Linked DNA regions of Nothobranchius furzeri. The protein of the gene in region 2 interacts with the protein of the main gene of each other region in a biochemical or structural test. Links are inferred from orthologs where the notes say so. Each region holds a gene or a part of one and is shown on either strand. Other genes may lie near its edges. The genes, in order: gdf5, bmpr2b, bmp2b and bmp4.

The links.
Region 1: the proteins of bmpr2b (region 2) and gdf5 form a complex in vitro, tested with the Homo sapiens proteins (2 studies listed by BioGRID and IntAct, with this or other methods). The link is inferred for Nothobranchius furzeri from reciprocal best matches to the Homo sapiens genes BMPR2 and GDF5.
Region 3: the proteins of bmpr2b (region 2) and bmp2b form a complex in vitro, tested with the Homo sapiens proteins (4 studies listed by BioGRID and IntAct, with this or other methods). The link is inferred for Nothobranchius furzeri from reciprocal best matches to the Homo sapiens genes BMPR2 and BMP2.
Region 4: the proteins of bmpr2b (region 2) and bmp4 form a complex in vitro, tested with the Homo sapiens proteins (2 studies listed by BioGRID). The link is inferred for Nothobranchius furzeri from reciprocal best matches to the Homo sapiens genes BMPR2 and BMP4.

What each region holds. Positions count from the first base shown.
Region 1 is NC_091743.1:78,131,899-78,140,076, forward strand, and holds the start of gdf5 (growth/differentiation factor 5), read right to left. Parts: upstream 5,705-8,178; 5' UTR 5,161-5,704; coding exon 4,533-5,160; intron 1-4,532. UniProt on the Homo sapiens protein: Growth factor involved in bone and cartilage formation. During cartilage development regulates differentiation of chondrogenic tissue through two pathways.
Region 2 is NC_091742.1:74,239,863-74,247,603, forward strand, and holds part of bmpr2b (bone morphogenetic protein receptor type-2), read left to right. Parts: coding exon 1-138; intron 139-4,039; coding exon 4,040-4,154; intron 4,155-6,958; coding exon 6,959-7,119; intron 7,120-7,229; coding exon 7,230-7,377; intron 7,378-7,489; coding exon 7,490-7,626; intron 7,627-7,741. UniProt on the Homo sapiens protein: On ligand binding, forms a receptor complex consisting of two type II and two type I transmembrane serine/threonine kinases.
Region 3 is NC_091742.1:22,691,273-22,699,572, forward strand, and holds the start of bmp2b (bone morphogenetic protein 2b), read right to left. Parts: upstream 4,649-8,300; 5' UTR 4,471-4,648; intron 3,694-4,470; 5' UTR 3,681-3,693; coding exon 3,326-3,680; intron 551-3,325; coding exon 1-550. UniProt on the Homo sapiens protein: Growth factor of the TGF-beta superfamily that plays essential roles in many developmental processes, including cardiogenesis, neurogenesis, and osteogenesis. Induces cartilage and bone formation.
Region 4 is NC_091758.1:25,532,715-25,540,978, forward strand, and holds the start of bmp4 (bone morphogenetic protein 4), read right to left. Parts: upstream 4,280-8,264; 5' UTR 4,008-4,279; intron 957-4,007; exon of another isoform or gene 951-956; 5' UTR 834-950; intron 404-833; 5' UTR 397-403; coding exon 39-396; intron 1-38.

The DNA.
Region 1 (8,178 bases), on a different chromosome or scaffold from region 2:
TTTCTGTGTTGTAAATGCATAAATCGGTAGTGGAGAATTACGGACGTATTTCGGTTGCCTTTGGAGCTGACTTTTGGCCCAGGCAGGTGATGCAAGGCTTGAGCTGAACGGAGAGAAAGGACAGGTCCAAGTGTGGGTTAGCATCTGATTTTGGTGCGAAGAGAATAGTGTGATGGGCAGAAGACGGAAGCTGCCGGGCTCTGAGGGTGTGGTGATTGGACACCAGCTGGTCCTCGTTATGGATAACGAGGCCAGGGAGGATAAAAAGGTGACAGGTCTGCTGAGAGGGGTGCATGGTCGACCTGTCATTGTGGCATCGGACTTTGAGGGGAGGGGTCGTTCGCAGCCGGGTAGGGCTGCCGGCGACGAAGATAGCTGAACAGGTGTTTAGTGTTCCAGCGCCAGGAGGGAAGGCTGGTCGCCTTCTTTAGACAGTTAGGGCTGGGCATAGGTGATGCCAAGGCCGCGCCGACATCTGCCGCTACGGACTCTGGCAGTGGACTTATGTTGTGGATTTACCCGCCGTCCTCGCAAGCTACACCCCGGGGCGTTGGACGGCGTTGGAAGCTCAGACCCCGGGGACGGGGGTCACACCATCCGTGACAGCTAAGTACCGCTGCTTACGTGACTCATGCTGGACAGTTGGTTTTACAAGAGAGGGCTTGGGCCATGGTGTTTTATCGTTGTGTTTTATTATTGGTTGTGCAATAAAGTGTGTCTTTTATAAGTCGTTGCCTACTGGTGGTGTGTTCAGGTTCTGACCGGAGGGCAAGATATTCTGCCCGTGCTGCCCACGGCTACTTTTATTACACTGGTGTCAGAAGTGGGATCTAGCAATCCAAAATGTCAGAACCTGAAAATAACACACCTCCTCCGTTGAGACCAGCTGAAAATCAGCCCGTGAGCACAGCAGCTCGGACGATTTTTATGCCGGAGAGCTTTTCCGGTGTTGGCCGCGAATGGGCAGACTGGGTTGGACAATTTGAAATGGCAGCCGATGTAAATAACTGGGATGAGCCCCTTAAGCTGAAGTTTCTGTGTCTTCTGTTGTCTGACAAGGCTCGAGAGGTTTACAATGGCTTGTCGGGGAGCGTTAAAGCTAATTATGCCGTGTTAAAAGAGCAAATGGGGAAGTGTTTGGATCCGTGTGACAGCGCTGATTGGAATAGGGCTGTTTTCTCCGCTCGACGCAGGTGGCATAATGAAAGTGTCCGAGAATTTGGGATGGCATTACGACGGGCTGTCGTTAAAGCTTATCCGACAGTGGATCCCAATATACGAGACATGTTGGCTAAAGATCAGTTTATAGCTCATGTGGGGAATGGAGACATGAGAGTGTGTTTACGGAGCGCCAAGCCCGCGTCGCTTGAAGCAGCCATCGACCTGGCGGCGGAGCTTGAGCTCATTAGGAGCTTGGAGACCAGCTCAGTATCGGACGCAAGAGTGAGGGGGATAACTGTGAAAGATGCTGATGATAAAAGCATTGCTTCACTAATGGGGGTGGTTGAGAGCTTGAGACAGGAGGTGAAATCCCTCCAGGAAGTGGTGCACACACTGTCAGTACCTGCTGCATCTAGTCCCCACCGTCGTGACGCTCAGAACACAAACTTGCAGCCTAGGCAAGAATATTCCCGGAGGGAAGGAAATGAGAGGTTTGGAGGCTGCTGGGAGTGTGGCTGTAACCGGCATTTACGTCGGGACTGCCCTTACGTGCAGGGAAACTAGAGGGGGCGTGTATCGTGGGTCAAATGCCCGCCCCCTTCTCTGTTGTTGAGACCCCTGTAGGAAGAGGCAATGCTGGGTACTTGAAGGCCAGGATAGGTGAAGCCTTTGCCTCAGTAGACAAGTATGTGACGAGGCTGAAGGAAACATTCACTACGATGGTGGATGCGGTGAAGTGCCATCAGGGCAGAGCATCGGTGCAACAAAGGAGGGCACATGATTTTAGGGCCTCCCGCCGGTTCTACGCGGCAGGTGACTTAGTGTGGGTCAGAAATAAGCTGAGGAGACGAGGGGTGTGTCCCAGGCTTCAGAGGCGAGATAGGGGACCGTTTAGGGTCCTCGAGCAGGTGACAGACGTGTTATACAGGCTAGTACCCGTTGAGGGGGGTCCTGAGAGTGTGATTCATTTCAACCGACTTAAGCCGTGCACTTCTCTTCCACTAGTTGCAGCACCGATGGCTGTGGGGTCCCGAGAGAGAGCGCGGCAGAGTCTGCGTCAGCAGGATGCCACCTGGGAGGACACCAGCAGGGTTCATCGACGGTCTGCAGAGACAAGCAGGTCTGGCGGCGCAAGTGACCCGGCCCCATCACGTGGAGAGGCTGCTCGAGGAGGTGCTGCTGCAGGAGGACCGGAAGGACGTCTCCCTGGGGAGATCGACAGACGTGCGGAACAGCGGGTGGTTCATCAGCCGGATGCCACCTGGGAGGACATCAGCAGGAGTGCTCAACGGTTTTCGGAGACGAAGGGCTCCGGTGATTCAAGCAACCCTGCCCCATTGCATGGAGAGGCTGCTCGAGGGGGTGCGGTTGGAAGAGGATCGGGAGGACGTATCCCTGAGAAGGTCGAGGGACCTGGAGCTGTGGAGCAACGCGTGGTTCGTCAGAGGAGACCCCCTGTTTGGCATAAGGATTATCATGTGGAGATCTAGGACTCGAGGGCGAGTCCTTCAGGACAAAGAAGGGGAGAGTGTGATGGGCAGAAGACGGAAGCTGCCGGGCTCTGAGGGTGTGGTGATTGGACACCAGCTGGTCCTCGTTATGGATAACGAGGCCAGGGAGGATAAAAAGGTGACAGGTCTGCTGAGAGGGGTGCGTGGTCGACCTGTCATTGTGGCATCGGACTTTGGGGGGAGGGGTCGTTCGCAGCCGGGTAGGGCTGCCGGCGACGAAGATAGCTGAACAGGTGTTTAGTGTTCCAGCGCCAGGAGGGAAGGCTGGTCGCCTTCTTTAGACAGTTAGGGCTGGGCATAGGTGATGCCAAGGCCGCGCCGACATCTGCCGCTACGGACTCTGGCAGTGGACTTATGTTGTGGATTTACCCGCCGTCCTCGCAAGCTACACCCCGGGGCGTTGGACGGCGTTGGAAGCTCAGACCCCGGGGACGGGGGTCACACCATCCGTGACAGCTAAGTACCGCTGCTTACGTGACTCATGCTGGACAGTTGGTTTTACAAGAGAGGGCTTGGGCCATGGTGTTTTATCGTTGTGTTTTATTATTGGTTGTGCAATAAAGTGTGTCTTTTATAAGTCGTTGCCTACTGGTGGTGTGTTCAGGTTCTGACCGGAGGGCAAGATATTCTGCCCGTGCTGCCCACGGCTACTTTTATTACAATAGCATTGGTTTTGTCCTCATTTAGATGAAGGTAATTAGAGGAAAAACAGGTTTTAATTACAGAGGAACGATCCTGAACACAGACTGCAGGAGAGCTTGGGCTGACATAGTAGTAGTCAGTCATCTGCATACATGTGTAGCCTAGTGAACTAGCCCAGAACTAGTCTAGTGAACTAGACCAAACTTTGGTCTAGGAACGCTCCACTAGAACCTCTGCAGCCCCTAGCAGCATTCTGGCTGGCCAATCACAGCTCTCTAGAGGGGTTTCAAACTGATAGAGCGCTGTGATTGGTCCACAATGGTGGGCCGGTCACAGTGACCTATCTGCTTTGTGGACCAATCACGGACCTCTGTTTGTCTGGTGGGCGGGATGATGCAAGAGTGGAAAAAAATGGCGACCGCTCATTTTAAATGGGTTTTACATTAATTCTGGACTATTGGGACTTGGGCTTTATTGAACCAGGAGCAGATACACGTTTTTAAGTTGTTTATTTAGAAAAAGGATGTATTTTTACCTTCTACAACCTCGTTTATCGACATCCGTTGTGGTGAGTATGCCACGTTGTTCATTGTCCAGTAGCGTGCGGGAGATCGTTTGAAAGGCAACTGTAGAGCCCGAGAGCCATCGATGGAGTGTTGCCGGACTTAATAATATATTATTTAGTCGGGCTTGCCAGGCATTAAATGTGATAGTTTACTAAGTTTTTTTAGAATGATGCCTGGAGGAAGTATGTAGATCGAGAAAAGCTAAGGACCCAAAACTGAACCCTGGGGGACCCTAGAGGTCGAGAAGAACAGTTTTCAATGCAAACACTAAAATATCTTTTATTCCAGTATGAGCTAAACCAATCACAGGCCTTCCCTTCAGATCCTGTTCTTTCTCCTACTGATCCTAGATCTGTGGAGGTCTACAGAGCCCTCCTTCACCAAATCTTCACTCAGAACTAAATGGTTGGTTTTAAGTAAGGTTTGTGTGTGAGCAGCAGCAGTGATGTTTCCCTACAACTGAAACATGACCGACAGAACATTCTGCTGCTTCCAAACCATCTGATCCCAGAACTGGATCCAAATCCTAGGAAAGTTATTCAGTTTTTCATTTCTTTCTTTCTTTCTTTCTTTCTTTCTTTCTTTCTTTCTTTCTTTCTTTCTGTTCCTTTGAAAGCCTATAGTCTTCGTTATAGAGGACAGAGACAGTTACCTTGTCCCTTGTCCACAAAGCTGGTGATGGTGTTGGCCAGAGCCGCGCTGCTGTTCACGTCTCCGCTGCTCAGTGACCAGTACAGAGACAGCATGTAGTCGTGAGGGGTCACCACCGGCTGCCTGGCGCCTGGTTTCGGTGACTTGATGCTGACGCCCCGCTCCACAGCCGCGCTCTGTTTTTGCTCATACCCGCTGCGCGCAGCGGCGGCTGCTGCGCCCGCCCTGGAAGCGGCTTTCCCCGGTGAGCCACCTCCTCCAAACGTCTCAGTTCCTTTCCTGGCAGCATTTGCGTTAACAGCTGCGGGCGCGTGCGCTTCAACACGTGCCTTAGCGGCGGGACGCCAGGAGCACACAGCCTCTCTGCACGCGGATCTTTGCGCTCCGTCCTGCTGCGGCTGGTCCAGCCTCCCCGGTGCAGCGGAGATCCCCGCTGGTTTCTGACTGGCAAAATTCGTCTCACCTGTGGTCGGCAGCGCACTCACGCGCACACGAGGAGCTGGTTTCCAAGAGCCAGCGGTTCCTCCCGTTCGCTCCAAGGTGGTTCTGGTTCTGCTGAGCGAACCGCGGACGGGATGCAGGAAGACTATCGTCCAGCTGAGCAGAAGGGGAAGATTCTTCACTCTCATCCTAAATCTCTGCAGCCTTTTGGCACATCGTCTATAAATCTCTTCAGAACGATCTGACCCGCTGAGCCGACACCAGGAGCGCGGGAAGTTCAGTGACCTTTCTCATCCTCAGACCCGTGAGGTCCAAAATGCGCGTCTCGCTCCCAAACGCTAGAGAAACGGGGTCTGACTCTCACAGGGTTAAAAGAGTCATTTGGTCAGGGTCAGGTGTCAGAACCATACTGCTGATGGTGGACAGGTGAGACTCTGAGACCTGGACCCGTCTTCTGCTCTCCAGCGAACTGTTCTGCTTGGTACCATGTAACAACTTCTTTAAATCCCACTTCTTTTTTCCATGTGAGGAGAGTATGGCGTAATGCGGTTGCCTCCGTTTTTTCTCTTTCCCTCCAAAGCTTGAACTCTGTCCAGTGAAAATATTTCACTCACACACAACAACCCGCAGGTGCTCCAGAATCCTGCAGCAGACCTGAGCAGGAATTCCAGAGAGCGGCTTTAATTACGCCGTGATGTCATTCTGTCCCAACTCATTTAACAGTGATAATTCAGCCCACATCTTCCTCCCTCTTTTACACACACACACACACACACACACACACACACACACACACACACACACACACACACACACACACACACACACACACACAAATTATGATAAATGATAAATGACCCACTTTTGTATAGCGCCCGCCAGAGTAAGGACTCCAAAGCGCTTTACAGTGTATCATTCTTCCATTCACACACTGATGGTGATGAGCTACGATGTAGCCACAGCTGCTCTGGGGCACACTGACAGAGTTGAGGCTGCCGAGCACTGGTCCCTCCGACCACCGCCAGCAGGCAAGCTGGGTTAAGTGTCTTGCCCAAGGACACAACAGCAGAATTCTCTGTCCGGAGCCGGGATCGAACCTGCAACCTTCCGACTACTGGAAAACCCGCTCAACCTGTTGAGCTACTGCTGCCCCACACACACACACACACACACACACACACACACACACACACATCTGTGTGGCTCTGAAGAGCTGCAGCAGCTGGATGTTTCCTATTCTAAGGCCAGATGAAGGAGACTGAGGCTCCAGTTACTTTATAAAACACAATGAGATGAAGCCCTGAAGGTGAGTCCCAAGCTGGAGAACACGTAGACATCTGTTGAGGTTTGATCTGAAGACCCCAAAACTCAGATTAAAATTAGGACTAATCATTAGCTTGAGTGAAGCCTCTGATAATTCAGTAGAGAAAAGCAACCCTCACATCTGACCTCCTTCCTCAGATGATTATATGGAAAAAGATGCATTAAACCTTTCATAAAGTCATGAGTCTACAGATTAGAGAGAAGTTTAGATTCTTGTTTTTTAAATATTTTAACATGTCATGGCTGACCAAATGGGCTCCATTCATTCACCATTAGTCATGCTTAACTTTTGCTGCAGGTTTTGCACCAAAGAGCCAAAAGACTCTTTCCTGTTTCAAGTTGCTGTTGGTGCCAAACCCTCACTAAGTCACATCACAGGAAGGTAAAGTGGCAGGTTGATGAAACAAACCATGACTTTGACTCAGAAATGTTTTCATCTGCATGGAGTTCAGAGCGGAAATAAAACTCTGATGAGGTAGGATGAAGAAACAAAACAGGACTTCTTCTCCTGTTCCTTTAAGATGTTCTTCAGCTCTGATCCTGGGTCAGGAGTTCAGGACTTAAACCTCATCCAAGAACCTTAAACAGTAATCAGAACCATGAAAGTCAGGTGACCTATTTGGTCGTCACACACACACACACACACACACACACACACACACACACACACACACACACACACACACACACAGACACGCACGTGCACACACACACACACACACACACACACAGATGAGGAATGAATAATGACCATGTAGTATACTCTTACTGGCTCTTGAGTATCGGCTATGCCTGGAGACCCCGGGACGCATGCAGAGACCTGGATGTGTGTGTGTGTGTGTGTGTGTGTGTGTGTGTGTGTGTGTGTGTGTGTGTGTGTGTGAGTGAGAGTGAGAGAGAGAGAGAGAGCTGTGGGAGTCTATAAAACATTCTGATGCTGTTCATTGGGTGATTATATGTTCACAAACTTTACACGAGTGAGCTCACCAGTCTTGTGTGTGTTTGTGTTTCCAACACCAACAAGGAGCTGGACCTTCTGGCTCGTCAGCAGCTGCTCGAGGAAGGGGGGATGGGGGTGGGGGGGTTTGATTCATAATCATCTTCTTATTTAACTTTTCAATTTCAATTCAATTCAAGTTTATTTATGTAGCGCCAAATCACGACAAGCATCGTATCTAGGCACTTTACATAATAAACATTCCAATTCAGGTAAATTCGTTAAGCCAATCAGAAAAAAGTTTCCTATATAAGGAACCCAGCAAATTGTTTACAGCAATCCTCATACTAAGCAAGCATGCAGCGACAGTGGAGAGGAAAACTCCCTTTTATTAGGAAGAAACCTCCAGAGGTTCCCGACTCAGTATAAGCAGCCATCCGCCACGACTCACTGGGGATGGAGAAGACAGAGTAGAAACACACACTAGGGGTTGTATCAACTAGTCGATTAGTCCACTTCACTGCTCTGCAGTGACTTTTTATGCCTGTCATCGACTAGTCGCTGTCACATGATTATGACCGACAAGATGCAGTCCTCGGACAAGACAGCAGGTGACGAGCTCCTGCGCGTTGGGAGCCGACGCGCTGTGTTTCCCCTCACCCCCATCCTAATCTTAACCAGCTTGCGCATGCAAAGCTCTAATCGTTGACGCGCTCCAGACATCTGCGTCCTGAACACGGCTACAGTAACATTTTCAAATTAGGTGTTGCCACCTGAAAAACAAATTTAACACGCGATCGTTCGTGTCGGCTCATTTCCTTACATGTTTTCTGTCTTTTATTTGAGCCTGATGCGTTTTGCTGCCGTGGAGCGGAGCGCATCACCTGTTTTGTCCTCCTGTGATGCCCCTCACCGGTGCGGCAGGTGCGCACTCCGCTATTTTTGC
Region 2 (7,741 bases):
AACTTCATGAATGAATGCTCCATCTACCGCCTGCCGCTCCTGGAGCACGATAACATCGCTAGGTTTGTTGCTGCGGACGAGCGGACAGGTCCAGAAGGACGAACCGAGTTCCTCTTGGTCATGGACTACTACCCTCATGTGAGTACTGATCAATAGGATGCTGGTTGACCCAAATATTATCCGAATTAATCACTTAACTGACTTGAGAGTTTGGTTGTGTCTGAAAGAGTGTACTTCCTTCTTCTGCTGCCATTCCTGAAGGTGATGTTCCTGGAAGTGACACCTCCTGTTTAGGACGGTGATAGGGTTTTAGTTTTCTTGGTCCCAGTGCTAGACCAGGACTGGTACTAGAGCAGGTTCGCACCTCGTTCTCAACAGTTAAGGCCTTGTTTAGTTTCCCACAGCCAGAGAGCCGACTGAATGCCGTTACGTCTCGTAAAACGTCTGAACCAGAGAGCAACACTCTCAATTTACTGGTCACCTTTATCCCTACCCCCAATAGTAGTTGGTGTTGTGCTAGTTAATGAAAAAAGTAGCTAGTTACATTTACTATTTGTCTTATTGAAAAGTGATCAGTTACTCTGATTACTTACTCCCAAAAGTTACGCATTACTCTGAAAAGTGACTATTTAGGTACTTTTTAATAGAGTATTTTTAAAAATGTGCCCATTATGTCCCATTATGCCCAATGTGCCTCTGTCAGTGCGTCCCAGGGCAGCTGTGGCTACATCGTAGCTCATCCCCACCAGTGTGTGAATGGATGAATGATACACTGTAGTACAAAGCCCTTTGGAGTCCTTACTCTGAGAGGCGCTATACAAATGCAGATCATTTATCATTATCATTATTAATGTCCTTATAACCACATTTGATTGTTGTATAAACACAAATACTAATTTATTTTTCGACACAATTTAAGTCAGACCAGTAAAGTTGCTTTATTTAAAAAGTAACTAATTATATTAACAGTTACTGGTAAACGTAGCACCGTTACTGCAACACGTTATTACCCAACACTGCTTATGGTCAGGAGTTTGGATAACAACCAAAAGAACAAGATCGTGAATACAAGCGACCAAAATGAGTTTCCTTCGTAGGTTGAGTGGGCTCAGAGACAACCCTTACCTACACGTCACAGCATTTGTCTTGGTTAATCCAGTTTAAATCCAGACGTGGTGCTCTGATATCATCACCTTGAGGTGGTGAAAACCAAAAGATCCACCAATACCTGGGTCTGGTTATATAAAACAATCTCCACCATGTTAACTGCTTGGCTTTCTCATTCCCATAATGTACAGGCTCTTCCTAACAGTGAAATTGCTTAAAGTACTGATTTTAGCAACGGACTCCTTGTTATATTAGCCAAATTAATCAAAACATTTCACTAATTTAATCAACCATCAGCTGGTGGGGCTGCAGCTGTCAGAGGCTGATGAAAGGAAGGAAGTGGCTCCAACCCAAATAAAGTTAACATTAAGTAGTTTGTTACGGTTGTGGTGGAGACGGCGAGACTCTAGACAAAAGAACAATCCAAACCACAGAGCTGTGATCCACGAGGAAAACGCCGGGCTTCTCAATTCAATTCTGTTTATTTATATAGCTCCAAATAACGACGAGTCGTCTCGAGGCACTTCACACAGTAAACATTCCAATACAGTTCAGGTCATTAAGCCAATCAGTTAAAAGTTTCCTTTATAAGGGATCCAGCAGATTGCATCGAGTCACTGACTAGTGTCAGTGTCGTTACGGCAATCCTCATACTATCTCAGAGCTCTGGATGCTGTTTGATTTTCTGTGAATCACTGAGTTAATTCCAATCAGCACTGAGAAGAAATTATTTAATAGAAATAATAGAGTAACAGATTCAGATAAGGTTGTCTCCTGACCTCTAGATGCATAGCATTGATCCATTTAAACAAAAAGTTGCTAAAGGCTTTTATATATTATCAGCATGCAGCCGTTTGTCTCAAACTTTTTAAAATGTTTTTCTTATTGTTTACTGGTAAAACTCCTACAAATGCCCTCAGGTGCTCATGAATGTTAATGAGGATGCACCTCCAAGCTGCTTCCCATCCAAACCTCCAGCTAATTACAGTGGGGCAAAAAAGTATTTAGTCAGCCACCGATTGTGCAAGTTCTCCCACTTAAAATGATGACAGAGGTCAGTCATTTTCATCATAGGTACACTTCAACTGTGAGAGACAGAATGTGAAAAAAAATCCATGAATTCACATGGCAGGATTTTTAAAGAATTTATTTGTAAATCAGGGTGGAAAATAAGTATTTGGTCAATAACAAAAATTCAACTCAATACTTTGTAACATAACTTCTGTTGGCAATAACAGAGGTCAAACGATTACTATAGGTCTTTACCAGGTTTGCACACACAGTAGCTGGTATTTTGGCCCATTCCTCCATGCAGATCTTCTCGAGAGCAGTGATGTTTTGGGGCTGTCGCCGAGCAACACGGACTTTCAACTCCCTCCACAGATTTTCTATGGGGTTGAAGTCTGGAGACTGGCTAGGCCACTCCAGGACTTTCAAATGCTTCTTACGGAGCCACTCCTTTGTTGCCCGGGCGGTGTGTGTGGGATCATTGTCGTGTTGGAAGACCCAGACACGTTTCATCTTCAAAGCTTTCAGTGATGGAAGGAGTTTTTGGCTCAGAATCTCACAATACATGGCCCCATTCATTCTGTCCTTAACACGGATCAGTCGTCCTGTCCCCTTAGCAGAAAAACAGCCCCAAAGCATGATGTTCCCACCCCCGTGCTTCACAGTAGGTATGGTGTTCTTGGGATGCAACTCCGTATTCTTTTTCCTCCAAACACGACGAGTTGAGTTTATACCAAAATGTTCTACTTTGGTTTCATCTGACCACACGACATTCTCCCAATCCTCTGCTGTATCATCCATGTGCTCTCTGGCAAACTTCAGACGGGCCTGGACATGCACTGGCTTCAGCAGCGGAACACGTCTGGCACTGCAGGATTTGATTCCCTGCCGTTGTAGTGTGTTACTGATGGTGACCTTTGTTACTGTGGTCCCAGCTCTCTGCAGGTCATTCACCAGGTCCCCCCGTGTGGTTCTGGGATTCTTGCTCACCGTTCTCATGATCATTTTGACCCCACGGGATGAGATCTTGGGTGGAGCCCCAGATTGAGGGAGATTATCAGTGGTCTTGTAGGTCTTCCATTTTCTGATAATTGCTCCCACAGTTGATTTTTTCACACCAAGCTGCTTGCCTATTGTAGATTCACTCTTCCCAGTCTGGTGCAGGTCTACAATTCTTGTCCTGGTGTCCTTCGAAAGCTCTTTGGTCTTGGCCATAGTGGAGTTTGGAGTCTGACTGTTTGAGGCTGTGGACAGGTGTCTTTTATACAGATAATAAGTTCAAACAGGTGCCATTAATACAGGTAACGAGTGGAGGACAGAAACGTTTCTTAAAGAAGACGTTGCAGGTCTGTGAGAGCCAGAGATTTTCCTTGTTTGAAGTGACCAAATACTTATTTTCCACCCTGATTTACAAATAAATTCTTTAAAAATCCTGCCATGTGAATTCATGGATTTTTTTCACATTCTGTCTCTCACAGTTGAAGTGTACCTATGATGTAAATTACTGACCTCTGTCATCATTTTAAGTGGGAGAACTTGCACAATCGGTGGCTGACTAAATACTTTTTTGCCCCACTGTATACCAGGCATAAAAGGAGCCTGTTATGCTTCGCTCTCATTAGTTTAATACACATCGTCATGGAAACGCAGCACAAGCCAGGACAGGAGTCGGAACACATAATGTGTTCAAGTAAATTATTAATGTGATTTATCCACAACTACCAGATCTAAAGTAGTATTCTTTCAGAGTGATGAACTTTTCTCTTTGTGATCCATGAACCAACTAATAATAAATGATCAAGGTTACCAGGAGGGCAATCAAGAAGGAAATTAAACATTTCTGGGATAATGCTTTATTAAAGTGGTGATTTATAATCACAGTAGGACAGTATTGTTTCATGTCATCCCTCTTCATGGTCCTCAGGGTTCTGTAAGTCGCTACCTGAGCATCCAGACCAACGACTGGGTCAGCAGCTGCCGGCTGGCCCACTCTGTCACCCGGGGCCTGGCGTACCTGCACACGGAGCTCTGTAAAGGAGGTAAGCTGGTGGACACACAAACCACTCAAACCTTACTGGGATCATATTCTAGGGCTGCTACCGGAACATAAACTGAAAAAAAGAGTTGTGGTGGCAAAGCTTTTAGTGTGTTTGGCCCCAGTAGACCTAATCGTTTACAAAGGGTTTAGATTAAGGAAGGAGTGACATCCAGGTAGGCTCTGATTCAGCTGGTTGACCTCAATCAACCTAACAGGAAGTAGGATAATATTAACAAATTTATGGTCAATACAAAAATATAATAATACAACCAAGAACACTGAATAGTACCGGGGTTTTTATTGGTTTTACTACCACATGGCTGCCACCTCAAACCATGAGATGTGAAAAGCGTATAGTTCAAATAAAATCTAACAAAATAAAATCTATAAAATTCATCTTATCAAATATACTTGTATCTTGTAATAACATATTGACTGCATTGTTATGTCCTCAATTATAGGTTTTGGATAAAAGTGTTTGCCAAATACGGAAACATAAAACCAGAGTCATCCACATGGAGATATCTCGGGTTTTCAACATGTAAAACAAATCTTTGGACCTGAGTCCAATACCTCCCTGAGCTTAGACTTTTAGTGATGAATTGTGAACCATATTCATGGGGAAGTTTCCAGAATACATCAAAACTTTGGAGATGTCTCAGTTTCCTTGTCGATCAGAGAATCTCACTCTTGTCACTGCAATTTTGAACAAGTTCCAAAACAATTAGCGAGTTTTCTGGAAATTGTCTCAAACCTGTTTGAAATGCCTCATATCCATCTCAAACCTCAGCCCTGTCCTAAACACCTTAAACCTGTCTGAAACCCATCTTGAATTCCACAAATCTGTCTCAAACCTGTCTCAAAACACCTAAACCTGTCACCTAAACCCATCTCGAACTTCTCTTCAACTTTCTTTGATTTGTCTCAACCCCGTCCCAAATCTTTTTGTCTCGTCTGAAATCTGTCTCAAACCTGTCAGACACTTCTCAGTTTAGTTTTTGTGAGTCAAAGATGAGAAAACTACTTCAGCTAAGATTGTTGATCACTTTGTGTACATAATTAAGACACTTTCTGATTAAATTTAAACAAGAAATTTTACACAAATATCACACTGTTTGAAATTGGTCTCATGACCCAAACACATACATGCACACATACAGACTTACATTTTCAATGGTTATGATTTTACAGCATCTTTTTTTAAATCTTTTATTTCATTCACAATGTATAAAATAAACACAAACAAATACAACATACATTAACATATTGAAAAAAAAACATTTGAATGAAAAGGAGCAGATAGAAGAAAAAAATCTTATGATTTCTGCCCCTTTTTACAAAATAAAATTATCCGCCAAACAAACACAGTATAACCTCAGTCACTTTCTAATATTTTCACGTCTAATCTTTGACATTATAATTCACCTTTTCATAATTACTAAATACATTAGATTTTATACATTTTTTAAATGTAGCAAGTGTAGTTGATTCTTTAAATTCCTTGTTAATGGTATTCCACAACCTTACACCATTTACAGAAATGTTACATTCCCTCACTTTGGTTCTGAATCTAGGTTTCTTAAAGACATCAGTTCCTTTTAACATGTACCCACTTACTCTCTTATGAAACATTTTCTGAATATTAGTTGGTAGATTACTCGTATTCGCTCTGTACATTATTTGCGATATTTTCCACTCTACCAAGTCAGGAAATTTCAGTATTTTGTATCTAATGAATAATTTATTAGTGTGATCTCTATAGTTACTGTTATTAATGATTCTCAATGCTCTTTTTTGCAAAATGAACTGTTCTGTCTGTTGGGGTGAATTGAACATTTTTGTTTACATTTGAAATGAAAATATTGTCTTTAGGTTGTTTATTTGCAGAGAGCAAATGGTCAAAATAAGATGTCAGCAAGAGTGATTTGATCCACCCGTCTTCCTCTTGCTCACAAAGATATTGCAGTTGTTTCTACTTGTTTTCCTCCTGATTTAGTGTCTCCGGCAGTAAAAGACTATAGATGAAGTTTATTATTGTTTAACAAAAGCAGAGAAACTGTGAGTCCGTGATGATTCAGCAACTCTTCGTCTTTGTGACTTTGTCAGTCATATATGTGGTTGAGATCTGTTCTCTTGACTTGCGTTGGTTTGAGGTTTGGTGTACAGTTGACCTGATGTGTTAATGTTCTTCATTTTAACACTCGACACCTGAAAACTAAGTTTTTGTGTCCGGAAACATTTAAACAGTAGAGTCCAGAGCGAGCCTCCACGTGAGCTGTACATGCAGCGCCACTCGGGTCTGTTTGTCTTGTAGAGTTTGTGTTTTGACAAACAGTCAGTGCACGCCCAGCCGAGGGTATTTTTAGCCTTCCCTCGAGCGAGCCACAGAGAGGAAGCAGAGAAAGGAACATGCTACAGAGGTAAATAAAAGGTAACTTCACTCTGAGAGGTCAGGACTCTGCTGTTTCCGTCATCTGTCAACAAATGGTCGTCAGATGTTCCTGTTCTCTCTCCTCATTAGCACAGATAGTCGTCAGGCAGACTATGCAGTGAAAAGAGAGGAGAGAGAGCTCAAATCAGTGCCATGTGTAGCTAAAAAGTGACTCTGGGAGGTGAAGTGATGAGTAGATAAGAGGAAGGACTGTCTTAAAGAAATCTGCAGGATCTCTGGGGCTTTGGTATGGTAGTCTTCTCCCCCACTCCTGCACATCACATCTCCCTGGTGACTGTGTCAACCTCCTGCTGCCTCGCTGCGCCCCCTGCTGGTCACACACCTACACAATCATCTCCTCTTTGTTTTTTTAGACTTGTACAAGCCTGCCGTGTCCCACAGAGACCTGAACAGCAGGAACATTCTGGTCAAGGCCGATGGCACCTCTGCCATCATCGACTTTGGCCTGTCCATGAAACTGACAGGGAATCGTCCCACGCGTCACGGGGAGGAGGACAACGCTGCTATTAGCGAGGTGAGGAGAAAGGACTGCACCGCATCAGGGATTTTAGGATCTCTCATCACTTGTAGCCCCGAACGTTCAGTCATTTACCTTTGTTTCATCTTTTCTTCTCTCCTCTGCAGGCGGGGACGGTCCGCTACATGGCTCCGGAGGTTCTGGAAGGTGCGGTGAACCTGAGGGACTGTGAGGCAGCACTTAAGCAGGTGGACATGTACGCTCTGGGCCTGGTCTACTGGGAAATCTTCATGAGATGTACCGATCTGTTCCCTGGTGAGGAGAGTGCCCTATGGGCTACGTCTTTAAGGGTGTTCCATTCAGAACAAGCCTCATATGTGTGATCTGTGTCTAAAATCTGATCCGCCCTGTCTCCATTGGTCTGTAGGAGAGTCGGTGCCAGATTACCAGATGGCCTTTCAGGTCGAGGCAGGAAACCACCCGACGTTTGAGGACATGCAGGTCCTGGTGTCCCGGGAGAAGCAGCGGCCCAAATTCCCTGAAGCCTGGAAGGAGAACAGCCTGGTACGTGTTTGATAGGAACAGAGCCACAGTCGCATGAATCTGGGATTTAATCAAAGCGTCCGACTCACAATAGGAGGAATAGATCTTTCCTGTTTGCTTTTAAACTAATTAGAGG
Region 3 (8,300 bases), about 52 Mb from region 2:
TGCCTTTTTTCCCGCGTGTGGAGTACCGAGTCCCCACGGCCATCGTGGCCATACGTCACCAACAAGGGCCGAGCCTGAGGCCACGAGTCCTGGTCCTGATGCAGGGACCGGCTCACTCTAACATGCCTATTACGTCTCTGGGAATGCTCAGCGTCACTCTCACCTCCTTCCGGGTGAAACACCTCCACCATGAAGCCGTGATTGTGGCCATTCCCTGAGGTCCACTGAGAAACAGCAGGACTCACGTCAAAGCTCTCCCAGCGGCTTAAAGACTCCCGCACCAACCGGGTGTCCAGCAAACGTACTAGAGGTTCAGCGCCGTCAGCGGCGGGAGCTCTGAATATCTCGTAAATGTTGATACGATGGAAGCCACCGGAAGGAGCACCACCACTAGTGCTGCTGTTGTTGGGGGCTGCTGCTCCCATCACCTGATCCCTGTAAATGCGCAGCTCCGCAGAAGTGATGAGCTCCTCATCGGGCACAGACGTGAGGTTAAAGTAGAACTGCTGGGTTGTTTTGCCTTTCAGGCTGTTCAGGGCCTCCATGGACTCTAGAGAGAACAAAAGGCAGATCCAGCATGTCAGATGACGGTGTTCTCAAATGCATTCCAATGATGTGTCAAAGAATTCACGTACGACACAAGAATGACAACCGGCACACGCCTCGAGTAGCTGCTGGCGTAATAAACCGCGAATGAGCAGGAAAAGAATTTCCTTCTGCGCAGGCAGTGAAGCTGTCACGTGGTCACAGAGTCTTAGTCATTAGTTATATTTGCTTATCTCTTAATTAATTTTTTTTCTATCTTACCTTCTGCACCAAAATACCACAGCAAGTTCCTAATGTTGTGACTTGGCACACATATGGCAATAAAAACTTCTGATTCTGATTCAGAGAGTGGGTGTGGGCCATTGTCAAGCAGGTAAAACACATAGTATATCAAGCCTTTGCATGCATGACTCAGCGTAATAGCAGGCAAATGCTCATTATGACGCAATGCCGTCACCACTGTCGGGTTTTTTAAATCGCCTGGCTAAATGTCAAAGGATTAAAGCGATGCACTTCCATTTACTGATAAGATGAAGCAAAGCCATCACCCTGCTTCGACACGGCTCACTTAGGTCTCCTTCACTTCATTGATAATCTAAGACGAGTGCGGGACGCAGAGAAAGGGTGAAAACATAATCCTCAAATGTCACTCTAGCGTTTATGGAAATCTTAAGCCACCTGGAGAATGCTGCATTTAAAACACTCGGCTGCAAAAACAGAGAGAATCAATAAACAGATGTTTTAGACTCTTCTATCAGCCAGAAACGTGGAAGGGCCTTCTTTTCCATCTCCTGTGACTGTTAAGCGTATACTTAAGTCCGCTGGCATTCCCCTCTGTGGTGCAAATGGCAGAAGTGTTGGTAAAAGCTACAATTTGCTTTGAGGCGGCCCTGCTTTGAACTTTTACTTCATGCAGATCATAGACAAGCCATAGACATGCAGTTTAATCTGGTTTGTGCGGCAAAGTAGCGCAAACCTCAAACTCTTATCTGTTCAAAGGAGCCATTTAGGAAATTCCACGATCTGGTCCTAAACCCCCCTCCAGAGGCACAAAGACCTCAATTAGACCCATCACTACTCATTTGATGTGGGAAAGCCCCCTCTCTCATTCTCGCTCCTCTTCACCCAATCCTACTCTTCTTTTTTTGTTTTTTATCAGCACCCAAATCCCCCTCTTTCCCCTCCGTCCTTTTAGAGATCCTCTTCTCTTGTCTTCTCTGTCACCGTTTTCTCAGTTCCTTTCTGCAACTGTTCTCGATCTCGGTCTGGAACTGCTGTGTGAACAAGTTTATGCTTGTCAAAAGCACGCGAACCACAGATTTCCACAGCTTTATTTTTGTGCCACTCGCCAAAACAAAAGATAGATGCTAATATTGGATCGGCCATCTCTGGCAGCTGCGTCCTGTGCTACGGTGGAAAGGCTCTATTTGACTCGAGTTATTCCTGAAAACCAATTGTCCGAGCGAAAGGAGCATGGCGTGGCAGACGTGACGAAGGCTTGGAGCTGTTTGCTTTGATGTGCTGCATTAACATCTGTAGATCCGTGCTTATTACAGGGGGAACAATCCCTCGACGCGATACGGGAAGCCTAATAACCGCGCGGCTGTTAGCATAGGACGAAAAGAGCCAGGAGAAGACGTGTAAATGTCAACGTGTGTTGGCTGAGTGCAGAGGTTTCCAGCGGTGAGCTGGGAGCAGTCACTCAACCCTGCTGCTCAGGGTTGTTTGTAGTGTGTCAGTGTAGCCACTTGGTGTCATTGCACTAGGCCTTTGGAGAGCACCCAAGCAACCACTCAACCACCCCTCTGACTCACCCCTGATGGAAAGAAACTTCTCCACTCAAACACAGGACTCTGTATGAGGACTCTGCGCAGGGCCCCAATGGACCCAGCAACGTGGGTCACATTAAGATAAATAGATGTGCAAATCTACTATACCGGGAATAAGATGTTTATTATACAAAAACGTAAACATCGAGTGCTCCTGCTTTTAAAGCTGTTATAAACAAAGCATCATTTACTTTGTTAAAATACTGTTTAAATCCACATTTTAACAGCTGATCCAGAGTCTGCAAAACGTTTATTTTCATCCGAGAGGTGAATGAGTCATGTTTAAATATAGGTTTTTAAATTCAACTGAACTGAGACTTGTAGTTCAACTATCGCTGTCTTCTCCAAACTGGTTCACGCGTAATGATGCACAACTGGAAGCAACAGGAAGAAGGGAAGCCACGCCTCCTCTACGGCGTTACCAAGAGCTAATTTGAGTCTTGTTAAAGGTGACTCAGTCTGACACGGTGACTTCGTCATCGTGTGTGTTGCTCTGATGTCGGTTGTTTTTTGAAGTTGCAGGGTGACGTCTATCACCTGCGCACAGGCGCACCGCCCTTTATGCTGCTCCCGTGGTGCGTGTCTGGAAAAACAGTTTTCAGAATCCCACGCAAACACCATCAATTATTAAGAAACTAATGACCCCGGGGATACCGCCGCCCCTGATGTTTCTGAAGCCTGTGACAGCTGTGCTGGAGGGATGTTTGTCTAAATGTTGCACTGCTGCTTAGGTGAGAAAAGTCAACTTTGATGTGATTTTTGTGCATCAATCTTTAAGTTAAAGCATTTTTTAAGGTTGCAAATACCTTCGGAGCATGTCATCTGTAAATGACTAAACCTTCAGAAAACAGGGAAGACTCTGAAGTTCAGTGTTGACGATCTGAGTCATGTTTAAATATAGGTTTGCGCTGTCTGAGAGAGACATGTAAAGGTATGTCACTAATATATACCTTCATGGTGAAAGCTTCTAATCGTGTTGGCCTTGCTGGCGGCTCTCTCTGCGTGCTTCCCCATGCTCTTGGGCCGCTTAGTGCTGTGGTCTCCGTTCGCAGAGTGCATCCGGTAAAGGTCCACCATGTACTGGGGCACCACGGCTTGTTTGCTGGGGGTCGGCCTGCGTCTCAGCCCGAACATGTTGAGAAGCCGCAGCTCGAACTCGTTGAGGAAGCTCTCCGACTGCTCAGGGGTCTGTTTCCCGGATTCGCTGTACTTCCTCCGGCCTACCTCGGGGATGAGTCCCGCAGCACCTTCCAGCAGCACCTGAGCGAGCATCAGTACCATGAGAGAGCGGACCACGGCGACCATGATCAGTCAGTCCCTGTGGAGAAAGTTGGTTTCTGTCAATACACTGGCAGGCAATGTGGTATTGACGTGAGGTGGTCCCAGCTAGGCTCTCGCGGCAGCAGTTCCCAAATCCCCCCTCAGAGCGTAAAACTGAAGGGGAGCAGGTTAAAAAGGGGGAGACACCTCTTCACTTTGAAGTGCAGAAGAAAAAGAAAGAAAGAAAGAAAGAAAGAAAGAAAGAAAGAAAGAAAGAAAGAAAGAAAGAAAAACCCAGAGGCTAAACTGCTCCTCTAGTTTGGGTTGAACATGAACCCTAACATGAAATATCAAGGTGAAAAACTAATGACAGAGGTGGATTAAACAGACAAATCAAAGGATTTGAAGGGAAACGCTGCAGACAAAAGGTCTCCAGCGAGAAGAGATAAGAGATCTTGTTGCAGATATGAAAGTCCATGCAGAGAGAAGGATCAAAGGAAGAACACGCATCAGTTCCAGTCCCACTGCGCGCTGTTTGCATGTAATCATAAAGGATAGTTACTTCAAGAGGCTTGCAGGTGTTAGATCTGACGTGTGCCCCACAGCCAGGCATCAGAAACACAGACGGAGTCAAACAACTTCCACACAGACAACTTTTACCTCTATTTTCATTTTCTGTTTCTCCGTGGCTCAACAGGCGGAGGCTTTACGCACGAATTTATTATTAGAAACAAATGAGCTGTCACTTGTGAAGTGACCTTTCTGTGTTCAGTCCAAGTGCGGATTCAGGTTAAAACCTCCACATCGATGGTTATTCTTTATTCTAGCGATTTACCTGACGAGAACGCGCGGTGTCCGGTCGTCGTTCCACCTTTAAGCTCCGATAAATTCCACATTAATTCGTGTTTAATCCACGCTGCTTCTGCTTGGGGGACCGAAAACAGCCCGCGCCCTCCGCCGATCGCTTCTCGCACATATTCTCACCAGCTGCGCGTCGGGTTCGGGTCTTGCTCAGTCCGGAGAGGAAAGAAAAAAAGTAGAAAAATTAAGTCTACGAGGAAGCGGCTGCGCGCAGGCATAGCCGAACTAAGTGCGAGGAAGCTTGTCTGGACATTTTTAAAATTAGAAAAAAGAAAAGCTGAAAGTGGAGAAACGTGGAGCGTCGCGCGATGTTCGTGGAGAGATGAGCGCAGTGAAGTTGGTGCTCGGAGAGGGAGAGCTCTCCGGAGCGGGTCTATTGATTGGTGCCTTCTCTTTCCCCTGCGACGCTTTTTGTCCTACAGTGATGTCACTGGGCTGTCAGTCATCTGTCCAAACCGCACCACTTCCTGTGCGTAACTCCCGCAGGAGAAAAATCCCTCATTTCTAACTTCACAATGGAAAACTGTTTAAACTTTATTCCTCTCCCCTTCAGCAAACATCTACAAATGTGATTTGGATTAAAATCTGTAACAGGACCACCAAGAACAGGTGGAAGAGCTGGCAGGAGTTTATGAGCTGAGTTTATTACTACAATTTTTAACCAAGTATTTCCCCTCAGAATGTGTACTCAGCATATTTGAAGAAAAAAAAGTACTTTTTGTTTGCTTCTTTTGACAAACAAGTACTTTTGTTTGTTTGTTTTGCCAAAATAGATTCAGTGCATTTGAGATTCAAAAGGTTGCCAATGATCAAAATGCAAAATGTAGTGAGAAAAATGAACTATGTGGGACATTTGCAGTTATTAACAGTTTTTTCCTTTTAGCAAACACAACACGTTATTAAGGAATTACTTAAATCAACCAAATAGAAAGAATAAACAGGCTTCATCATATAATTTTACATTAACCCTTTGATGCATAATGGTCACTATACAGTGGACAGGTATTCAAAATTGTTATTTGTTTATTTTACAGCTGTTGAAGACTTTATTGCAATTGAGCTCCTTCATTTGGACTTCAGTAAGTCAAGCCAACATATTTCGTGTTCAGAATGCACGCTGTCCCCTGAGATGGACATGTAATAAATTATTTGTAAATTAACAAAATACTACAAATAATATTTGCTGAAATTTGTTTCATTCACACCTACAGATGAATGAAAAAAAAGTTTAAAAAATCATGGTTGAAGATTTCATAATTCATGCATCAAAGGGTTAATTTGTAATAAATATGACGAAACCAATTCCTTTCAACCTCTTAATTTCCTGTTATATGAACAAAATATCATTTTTTATCACTTTTAAAGGACAGTTGTGTTAATTAACTATCAAGTTTCTAAATGATCAAACTTGAGGTTTGTTGCCACGGATAAGAAAAAAAATCAATTCATTTGAAAAATGTAAACCCTAAACTGCTTTTAACCTGTTAAACCTGCAGCTCTTCCCAGCTGACGTCATCCGTCCAATATGGCGCACCTGTTGACATTTCTTTGCCATTACCTGAAACCCCTTCAACGGAAGGTCTAAATATGTATGCCTTTGCTTCACGAGTGAAACCATTTTGTATTTTAAGAATTATTATGAATCAGTGGAATAAGATAAAGACTGAACGTTTTGTGGCAATGTCGTAACTGACCATTATTTTGAACTCTCGTTGGTTTTTGTAAAGATAAATACATAAAACAAAGAAAGAAATAACTACAAATGTCTTATTTTTATATTTACAGTAATAGTCTGTAGACTGTTCTTTGAACAGCCTTAGTTTGGTGAAACAGAGATTAGTTTGGACCGGCCTACTAAACATAAATACAAATTGATTTCTGTGATTTTAAAATAAATTGGATGGTTTTCAACACAATTTTGAACCTTGATGGTTCTGTCAGCTTCTTAATTATTAACTCATTCACTGCCAGCCGTTTCCTGGTCAGAGAAGCCCTTCACTGCCAGCATTTTTTAGAGTTTTCAAAGTTTTTTGGAAGAGTCACAGAACAGTGCGCTCCACGATGATGCCAACGCCAAAACAACCAAAACAACCAAAACAAAATGGAGACTCATCTCTTACATCAGGAAGAATCCGCACATTTTGAACGTTATCCGTTCTTTCATAATCCGTTGTCGAATTGTGATCGTCAGAAGTTTTTCCGGTTTGCGTCTCGCTTTTTTATTACAGCAGCCCAAAACGATCTCCTAACACATGAATTTTCTGCTTCCAGGTCAAGTGACGTGTGACGTATGCGGATGAAGATCGGCTTTAGAGCTGGGATGTTTGTTCTCCTGGTGCGGGGGCTCGTTCCAACGCCCACTCAGTAAAAACATGCAAATGACGACTTTAGTTGTCAAAGGCAGAGAATGAGTTAGAGCAGAAGCATTTAGTTCTGACAGAAAATGTTGCAGACGTTTAAACACACTTTTACTTAATATAACTAGATTCAGGTGAACTTTAGTAATCCCGGTAGAAGGTTTCTTTGTGACAGAAAGGGGAAAAATGGTTTCAACAAGAAAAAATACAAAAAATAAGAACTAAAGTAACCACAAACAACCAATATCAACCATAAAAGAGAAAAATATGAAAAAAATAAACTAGATAAATAACTTGGAATAACTTGAAATGTTCTTTAGAGAGTCACACACACAAAACAATTAAGAGAAATAACATTGTTATTTCGACCTTTTCCAAATTTGAACTTCAGGTAATTAATAAACTCTCACCCCCTGAGAATAAAAACTGTTTTAATGTCTTCATACATTTGTCCAGAAATAATTTTAATGCTTCTCTGTCATTTCCAAACTAAAAGAAAACGTCAGAATAAACTAGAACAATAGCAGAAATTGTATTTCCACTTTCACCTGTTAAAAGGTAAAGGAAACGATGCCATTTGGTCCTTTTGGGGCAGCGGTAGCTCAGGTGGTAGAGCGGGTTGCCTCATGATCGGAGGGTCATGGGTTCGATTCCAGCTCCCGCCAGGGGTATCCTGCTGTTGTGTCCTTGGGCAAGACACTTCACCCAACTTGCCTGTGTTAGTGGTGGTCAGAGGGGCCGGCGGCACCAAATGGCAGCCTCGCCTCTGTCAGACCTCCCCAGGGCGGCTGTGGCTACAAGTAGCTTACCATCACTGGCACTGTGTGAATGTGAGAGTGTGTGAAAGCGTGTTTGGGTGTCTAGAAAAGCGCTATATAAGTTCAATGCATTATTATTATTATTATTATAAATAGTAACCTGTATGTTTTAGACAGGTGCACTGTTAAAAATACAACTTGCAATTTGTTTGGAGAGTTTAAAGTTTTAAGTCAGTTGAACGTTTTAACTTGCAAAATGTTGAGTTAATACAGAAAAAACAGCACCTAAAAAGTTGACTGAACTTAAAATTGTATTTCAACTGGTTGCTTTACTTTTTTAAGTTCACTGGACTTTTTTTTTTTTTTTTTTTTTTTTTTTACAGTGTGTGTTGCCTGGTCTCTGTAAGATCTGTATCTGTTAATTTACCACCAAGTATAAAAAAAATCACTTCCTTCTTATTCATGATGAAATATTTGACCAAACCTGGTTAAAAACTGGAACAGATGTGCTTATTTCTAGATTAAAACCAAAATATGATCCCACAGAAATGAGATTATTTTGGTAATAGACGCTGTAAGAAGACTGTCACCTCCTCCTGTAAGCTTTTACAGGTGACACCAATGCTGATCAACACTTTGTTTCTTAGTTTTTATTCAGCAGAAGATGCACTAATCTCTTCTCCCCGTTA
Region 4 (8,264 bases), on a different chromosome or scaffold from region 2:
GCTTCTAGTCTTTTCAGTGCTTTTCCAAAATATCTTACCTTCATGGTGGAAGGCCCTCACCGTGTTGGCCCGGCTCGCCGACCTCTCCGGGTACTCAAAAGCGATGCCATGCGCTCCAAGCTCCTCGGCCTCCCCGGATTGTAGCCGATAGAGGTCCAGAAGATATTGAGGCACGGTGGCGGAGCGGCTTGGACGTGGACGTCTTTTGAGGCCGAACATGTGCAGCAGCGTGGCCTCAAAGTCCCGCAACAGTTCATGGCTCTGAGTGGCCGAGCGACCCTGCAGGCCAGGTACTTTCTTTTTCCCTTCTTCAGGTATCAGACTAGCATGGCTGCTCTCTCCCAGCAGGACTTGGCATATTAAAATGACCATCAGCATTCGATTACCAGGAATCATGATGTCTCTGGGAGGATAAACAAGATATGGAACGTTACAAATTTAAACTAATTATCTTCACTTTTCTACGTTAAATATTAGAGTACTATGGCTCCAACATTTTTTCACAAAACTTTCTTTTTGTATTCCCACTCGAGGCTAAATAATTACCCTCAATATTCCCGTCTGTCTCGTTTACAGTCCAGGACCACTTGCTGTTTATCTTTGGCGACATCCTCCAAAGGTAAACAGCCGGTTCCCAACTTTTTAAATGCAATTTAAGGGCCATTCCTCCTCCCTCCACCCCTTTCCACTCGTCTCCTACGATCAGACAAATAAAAGAGGCGGCCTTGGGGGTAGAAACAAATTCTTAACTCAACGAGGAGCCGGCGTCCCTCAAAGTCTGCCCCAACAAGCCAAACCCAAGACCTCTTCGGACTTGGAGTTAGCGTACTCACCGACAGAAAATAAAGCATGGGGAAACAGTCCATGTTTGTTGGGAGCAGGAGGTGGACACGTTCTTCCAGGAAATGTTAGGTGGTGTTGGGAGGCTGCAGGAGAGCGTTGGAGTGACCCTGTTCCTGAAAGATAGTCCAAAACACGGAGGAAACCTTAATCTGAGTGCGTCTGCAAACACTTGAGAGGATGTTACTTTGTATTTACGTGAAGACAAGCAGAGTGTGTGTGTGTGTGTGCATGCGTGCGTGCGTGTGTGTGTGAGAAAGAGAGAGAGAAAGACCCTGTGTCTCTTTAAGGCTTATCATTTTGGCTTGTGGGGAAGCTGCTATTTGCTGTAACTGGAATGTAAGGAGGTATGTGCCACAAGACTTCTCCTATCTCAAGAGAAAGATCAACATTTACTCAATCATCCGAGAGATATTAGAAATTTAACACCTTGTTAGATTTAGTTACATTTTTAGGATTTTTTTCGTTGAATTCAAAAGCTGAATTGGACTAAAAAGGTGACAGATGATGTTCTAATAGCTCCGAATCTACAATGACTCAACCATTTGCAGCATAAGCTTTCAGTTTGGCACCTACTCGCTTTTTGTTATGAATTTTTTTTTAAAGTAAAGAAAAAAAAGAGCTTCCTCAACTTGAAAATGTCAAACATGGCTGTCAAAAACTAGAGCAATTGTTTGTTTTGGCGTTTCGACGACTAGAACATTCAGCTTTTAGGTTTTATTTAAAGAGTTAAATGGTTCAAATGGTTCCGAGTGACCACAACAACAGCACCCCAGATTAAATTCCAGAGTAACATATGTCTTTGATCTTCATTTGGGGCTTGTTCACTCAAGCATGAGAGAGAGAGAGAGAGAGAGAGAGAGAGAGAGAGAGAGAGAGAGAGAGAGAGAGAGAGAGAGAGAGAGAGAGAGAGAGAGAGAGAGAGAGAGAGAGAGGGAGAGAGAGAGAGAGAGAGAGAGAGAGAGAAAGAGAGAGAGGAGAGAAGAGAGAGAGAGAGAGAGAGAGAGAGAGAGAGAGAGAGAGAGAGAGAGAGAGAGAGAAGGTTTAGCATCCACAGTCTGTATGTTTTACAGTACGCCGGCTGGTTGGGTATCGGTGTGAATATCTCAGGCTCTCGACGGCTCACTGTGCATGCAATCAAAGATCTCTTTCTCTTATAACAGCATTAGAGTGACCTCGGCTTGACCCCCCCGCCCTTTCTCGTTCATGTCATCGGATCCAGTGTGTGTGAGGCAAGGACCAGGTGCACGAGCCCAGCTCGCCTGCGCGCGAATGTGTACCACCGCTCGCATGTTCGTGAGAACTGTGGCACAGAGAGAGAGAGAGGAGGGCTCAGAACATGATCAGCTCTATTACCCATGGGGTGCAGGGATGAACTCCGTGTGTGTGTGTGCGTGCGTGCGTGCGTGCGTGTGTGTGTGTGTGTGTGTGTGTGTGTGTGTGTGTGCGTGCATCCTTGACAACAAACGTTCATTGTACAGAGAGGGCCTCTTTCATGATTGCAGGGATTCATAGTACTCAAAAACACTGACCATACAGCTCATCTTGTAACTGTAACCAGCAAAAGTGCAGGCCAGAGCAGACAGACACTCAGTGTGGTGTGATGATGATGAAAGAAGAGGAAAAAGTGATAGGAGGGTAACTTTCTTCAGTGGAAAACCTGCGTATGTGAGCGTGCACACTTTCCAGATTCACATTTCTTCTCTGAATTAAACAATAAAAAGCAAAGTGGAGCTAAGGCAAGCAGATTTTCAGATTCGGGGTGCAGTTAGGCCGCAGCGGTCAGCTTAGCCGCTCCCTCCCTTCCTCTGTCTCTTTCTGACCACAGATAGTGGTCAGGCTCTGCACATGGCTCTTCAGATGTGTTTCTTGAGAAATTTGACAGAGATGGTGGGAGGGAAGATGGGCACTAAGGGCGGGAGAGAGGAGTGCAGCAGGTTACCACAAGAACAGATCGAAGTCTGATTTTTTGTTTAAAAGTCTGCAACAACACATCTGCAACCCCGGAGCTGCATCACGTGTAAACTCTAATGTGAGTTAACATCCGGCACTGTGCATCATTAGTTTATATTCCAGCCTCAAGTTGGAATAAGTTGGTTGGAAGCTGCATTTTCTTTTTATTTATTTATTTATTTATGCAGAAATGAAGCAAATCTCTGAAAGAAAAACTTCATAAATTCCTGGTTTATAATGAACAAAAGTTGTGGATTTTATAAGATTCACAGTCGGTGAAGTCACTCCAAGAATTCAGATGTGACACATTTGGCCTTTTTTGACTAATTTAATTTGTTTTCTCCTTTTTTGTTAATCTAAACACAAGTAATAAAAATTTCCCCAGATGTTGCAAGACCTGCAGTTCTGGTTCAGACTGAGAGCCACATGTCCAGAGGCCAAGCTTTTCTGTCTTTTACTGGGTTTAATGGTACATTTTCATTTCCACACCTGCAATATAGAACAGTTATGCTAGCATTTATTTATATAAACCTATGTTTATACCCGTTTTAATTTTTTTACAAGTTGGCAGTTTAGACAAAAAAAGAAAAACAGTTGATTATTAAAACAAATAAAAATACACTTTTGATAGCAGACTATACTGAAAATACACATACCATTTAAATTATTTTACAAATAAAAGGAGTGACAAATGATTATTTTCTTTATTTTAATTAATGCGATCCCTCAGAGCGCAATCCTGTGATTTTATTCCATATTTCTGCGTGTCCAGATTGGTTTACGAGCTAAGATTCGCGCTGGAAAACAGAAAGAGTTTGAAAACAAATGTTTAAGTTGTCACGGAGAAAGAGAACCACACGGAAATCTGACGCGTTGTTTGGAAATGACCTCACTCACTTGTCTTTACGCAAAGTTTTGGCACACACAAAAAAACGCAGAAAGAAATCAGTGACAAGCTGACTATCGCTGTGGTTTAGTTTTATTTTATGTCTAAATGACTAATAAAAGTAAAGTTAACGATTTTTAAATCACCTTAACACGTTTTATTTCTTTCTGGGATTTAAAAAAAAATCTTCCACGCGCGCAGAAATACCACAATCAACATAATAGAACCCATTAAATCCTCCATAGAGTTCGTTCTTTATTATTTTTCTGGTCCTGTTTCTAAATTCTCCTTTACTGATGTGTAGTTGTCAGCTGAGAGGAGCTCTTACCATCAGTGGAGGTCCAGGTTTCCTCTCGTGAATCTGGAAACGACGGATAAAACACTCCAGCCGTCACGCTGCAAAACACCAAAATGCGCCTTCAAGCAGAAGTCTGGTGCCTTTGTGGCTCATTAATCCTCTAGTGGCGCCCCGACGCGGACATGTGAGCTGTAAAGGCCGGTTATCTGGCTCTTTCGTCCGTCTCCACGACAGTCGGTGAGGGAGGGCGATGCGCAGAACGGGAAGGCTCTCCAAATGATCCAGCATCTCTGATCCCTACAGTTTTTATGTGTACGCCCAATTCACCCTCCCCCCCTCCTTCTCCACCTCCTCCTCGACCCAGTCTCCCAACACCTCGGACATCCCCCCCCCCCCCCCCCACACACACACACACACCCATCTCTCCTAGGCTGCGCGCATTTTATTTTATTTAGAAAAAATTGACGTGAGGCAGCTTTATTTGTAGCACATTTCGTACACAAAGGTAATATATATATATATATATATATATATATATATATATATATATATATATATATATACACATACATATATATGTATTTATATACACACAAATACATATATATGTATATATACATATACATATATATAGATACATATACAAATATATATATTACATGAGGCAGCTTTATTTGTAACACATTTCGTAAACAGAGTCTATATATATATATATATACATATATATATATATATATATATATATATATATATATATATATATATATATATATATATATATATATATATATATTAAATGTTCTGGAGAGAGGCAACTGGTTTGGAGAGATCCGGGGGAAAAAACTGGGAAGAACACATCTTAACAGGTGAATACAAAACGGTTAAAAGCGTAAGAACAAAACCCTAAAAATTTTCATTTTAAACTATCACGGCATGCTCAAGTGCTTACTATTAAGTGTTATTTCAATGGTTTTATGTTTAATTGTCCTATGAATAATAATAAATAAATAAAATAAATAAATAAGTTGCCTAAGTAAAGAAAGAAAGAAAGAAAGAAAGAAAGAAAGAAAGAAAGAAAGAAAGAAAGAAAGAAAGAAAGAAAGAAAGAAAGAAAGAAAGAAAGAAAGAAAAACAAATGATCCAGCATCTCTGATCCCTACAGTTTTTATACTTATATATTTTTTTACTTCTACAAAACCTTAAAACTTTCTGTTACTCTTTAAAGCCATTTGCAGTGTTTTACTTAATTAAAAATAATTAAATGCACTTGTGTACATTTATTTACTTATTTAAAAATGTCAAGATTATTCGTTGATTCCGACAAACATACTATAAAGTGAATTTTAATCAGGAAAAACGAGGATTTAAAACGACTCTTTGTTAAAAAGTTTCTTCAGTGTTAGGATTAGGGTTTTACATTGGGCCTGAATAGACAATACACACAATTACAACAATAACTTAGCAAGGTCTAAAGCAGGGGTGTCAAATATGCGGCCCGCGGGCCGGATCCGGCCTGCAAACAGGTTAAATCCGGCCCGCGAGATGGTTGTGTAAACTTTATTTTCATACTTTACAATATAGTGAAAATAAACTTATCTTTGTGAGCAAGTTTTCTCTGTAATGAGTATAAATAAAACAAAGCTGTGCTCAAGACTCACACAAGAACTTGGATCACATCCTGAAGTTGGCTGCCACTCAGGATGTGACTTCTGATATTGATGTGCTGGTGAAAGCTAAAAGATGTAAAGTAAAATGAGTCAAATATACTTTAAGTCAGGGGTGTCCAATCCCGGTCCTAGAGGGCCGGTAACCAGCAGGTTTTGTGGTTTTTCTGCTTCAACACGCTTGATTAGCTGGTTGAATCACCTGTGCAGCAGCTCATCAGGCTCTGCAGAAGCCGGTTAATCACCTGCTGATTGAAATCAGGTGTGTTGAAACAGTTTAAAACGAAAACGTGCTGGATACCGGCCCTCGAGGACCAGGATTGGACACCCCTGCTTTAAGTGCTGCATGAAACTGATCTAGCCATGTGATCTGTAAGCACTTTGAATCACTAAGGAATGTTTTATTTATTTATTGATTTTTTTTTTTTTCAAATTTTCAAGTACACTTCAGGTGTTGTACTTGTCCTATTTTGGATACACTGTCCTCAGGCTCCAGCCTTGTTTTATATTGATTGTATTAAAACAAAGAAAACAATCTGAAGTTTTTTTTTTTATTTACCCGTCTGGCCCACTTGGGACTAGATTTCCCTCAATGTGGCCCCTGAGCTAAAATGAGTTTGACACCCCTGGTCTAAACCTTCCGGGCACGTCCAACCGGGAGGAGACCTAAAGGTAGACCCAGGACACGGTGGAGGAACTATGTCTCTCACCTGGCCAGGGAACGCCTTGGGATTCCCCCGGAGGAGATGGCCCAAGTGGCTGGGGAGAGGGAATTGGGCCTCTCGACCTAGGCTACTGCCCCTGTGACCCGACTCCGGATAAGCAGATGAAAATGGATGGATGGTCCAAACCTTGGTTGTTTTTTCATTTGTCCCAAATGTGTATTTTACACCAACAGCAGAAATCATTGATTTTTTTTCTTGCTCCTGACTCTCAGGATGTCATTCATTATAAAAAATGTAATGGAACACTTCGAAAATACATCAGATTTCACTTGGGGGGGGGGGGGGGGGGAATCAAGCTACACATTATTTGATCAAAACAAAAATGATCTACACTACCTCTCTCTTCATTCAGAGTCCCCTCATCACTGACCTGGTGGTGTCTGATGGACATGAACATGATGTCCCACTAGATTTAGATCAGGTGTGTAAGTCAATGGTATCAAGTCCTTCATCCTCTAGAAAGTGCCTGCATGTTCTTACCAGATGAGACCAGATATTACCATCCAGGAAGAACTCATGATCCACTGCAACAGCAAAAGGTTCAGGGTGCTGTCGCTCATCATCTACAGACATATGTTTATGGATGTTCTCCCCAGACTAATGCTGAGTCACCATCATGCTGAACAATGTTGTAGAAAGTACAACATTCACCGTGGCTTCTTCAGACCCTTTCAGGTCTGTCACATGAGCTCAGAGTGAACCTGCAAATACCAGTGGAGCTCCACGGTGCCAGGCAGTGAGCACAGGGCCCACTAGAGGACCTCCGGCCCTTGGGTCACAGTCATGCAGTCTGTTTCTAATGGTTTGGTCGGAGACATTTACACCAGAGGCCCCCTTGATGTCACTTTAGGGTTCTAGAAGGACTCGTCCACCTTGCACAAATGAGCACACAGCGGCCCTGCTGACTGTGTTAGGAGACACATTAAATCTTCTGGCAATAGTTACATATTGTTGTGCCATCCTGGTGGTTTAAGCCTGTTTGTGCAACCTCTGTGGGGTCTAGGTTTCTCATGATTCCAGTCAAAGATAAAATGACCAAAAACTAAATAAAAAACATCCAAAAAAGATGAAGAGAGAACAATGTCCCTGTCCTCTACCTGCAAAACCATTCCCGTTGTTTGTGTTTCCCATGTGTTGCTCCTTTGGTGCACATGTTGCAAATTTCATGAATTTGCAAAATTTGCTTTATTTTTAATGAAACTGACCTTTGATTTAATTGTAACTTTATAGCTTCAAAATACTTTTTTAAATTCAGTGTTCTGTTTGTAGTGTTGTGATTTAATACAATATCCAATGCACCCAAGGTACAGGTTTCACAGTAATTAAAAGACAACCAGAAAGTGTGTTTTGCCATTACAAATATCTCTGGATCATCCCCATTTGGGTTAGGGTTAGGGTTGAGTTGAGATCTGTAAATCTGCAAAGGTAATTAAATGTATTCCCTGAGGCTATTTTAGTATTTCTATTATTGCGTCTTCTAACTCATCTGCTGCATATCTTCACCAAGTGATGGGTGCATTTCAACACCATCAAATTAGGGATGTTTGTCAAGCAAATTGTTTTGATCAAATTTGCTGCTTTTCATCCCTTAAAAGTTGTAATAATCCAAGCTGATCCTGGAACTGTCTAAGAAATGTAATGTTTCTGTGTAGTTTCATGGGTCATTTAACTATGCATGGATTACACGTTTTTCTAAATACCTGCAATAACAAAAAAAATCACATGTTCTCCAAAGGAATGTTTACGTTGCCTAATGTTTCAGCGATGCTTCAGAAGGATTTGTGTTGATGCATCACGCATTGAGACATGACTGCACATGCACAACTTTTGACCTCAGGATGCAAATACGCACATAAAAACAGATACATGTTATAAAAACAAGCCGAAAACAGCTGAGT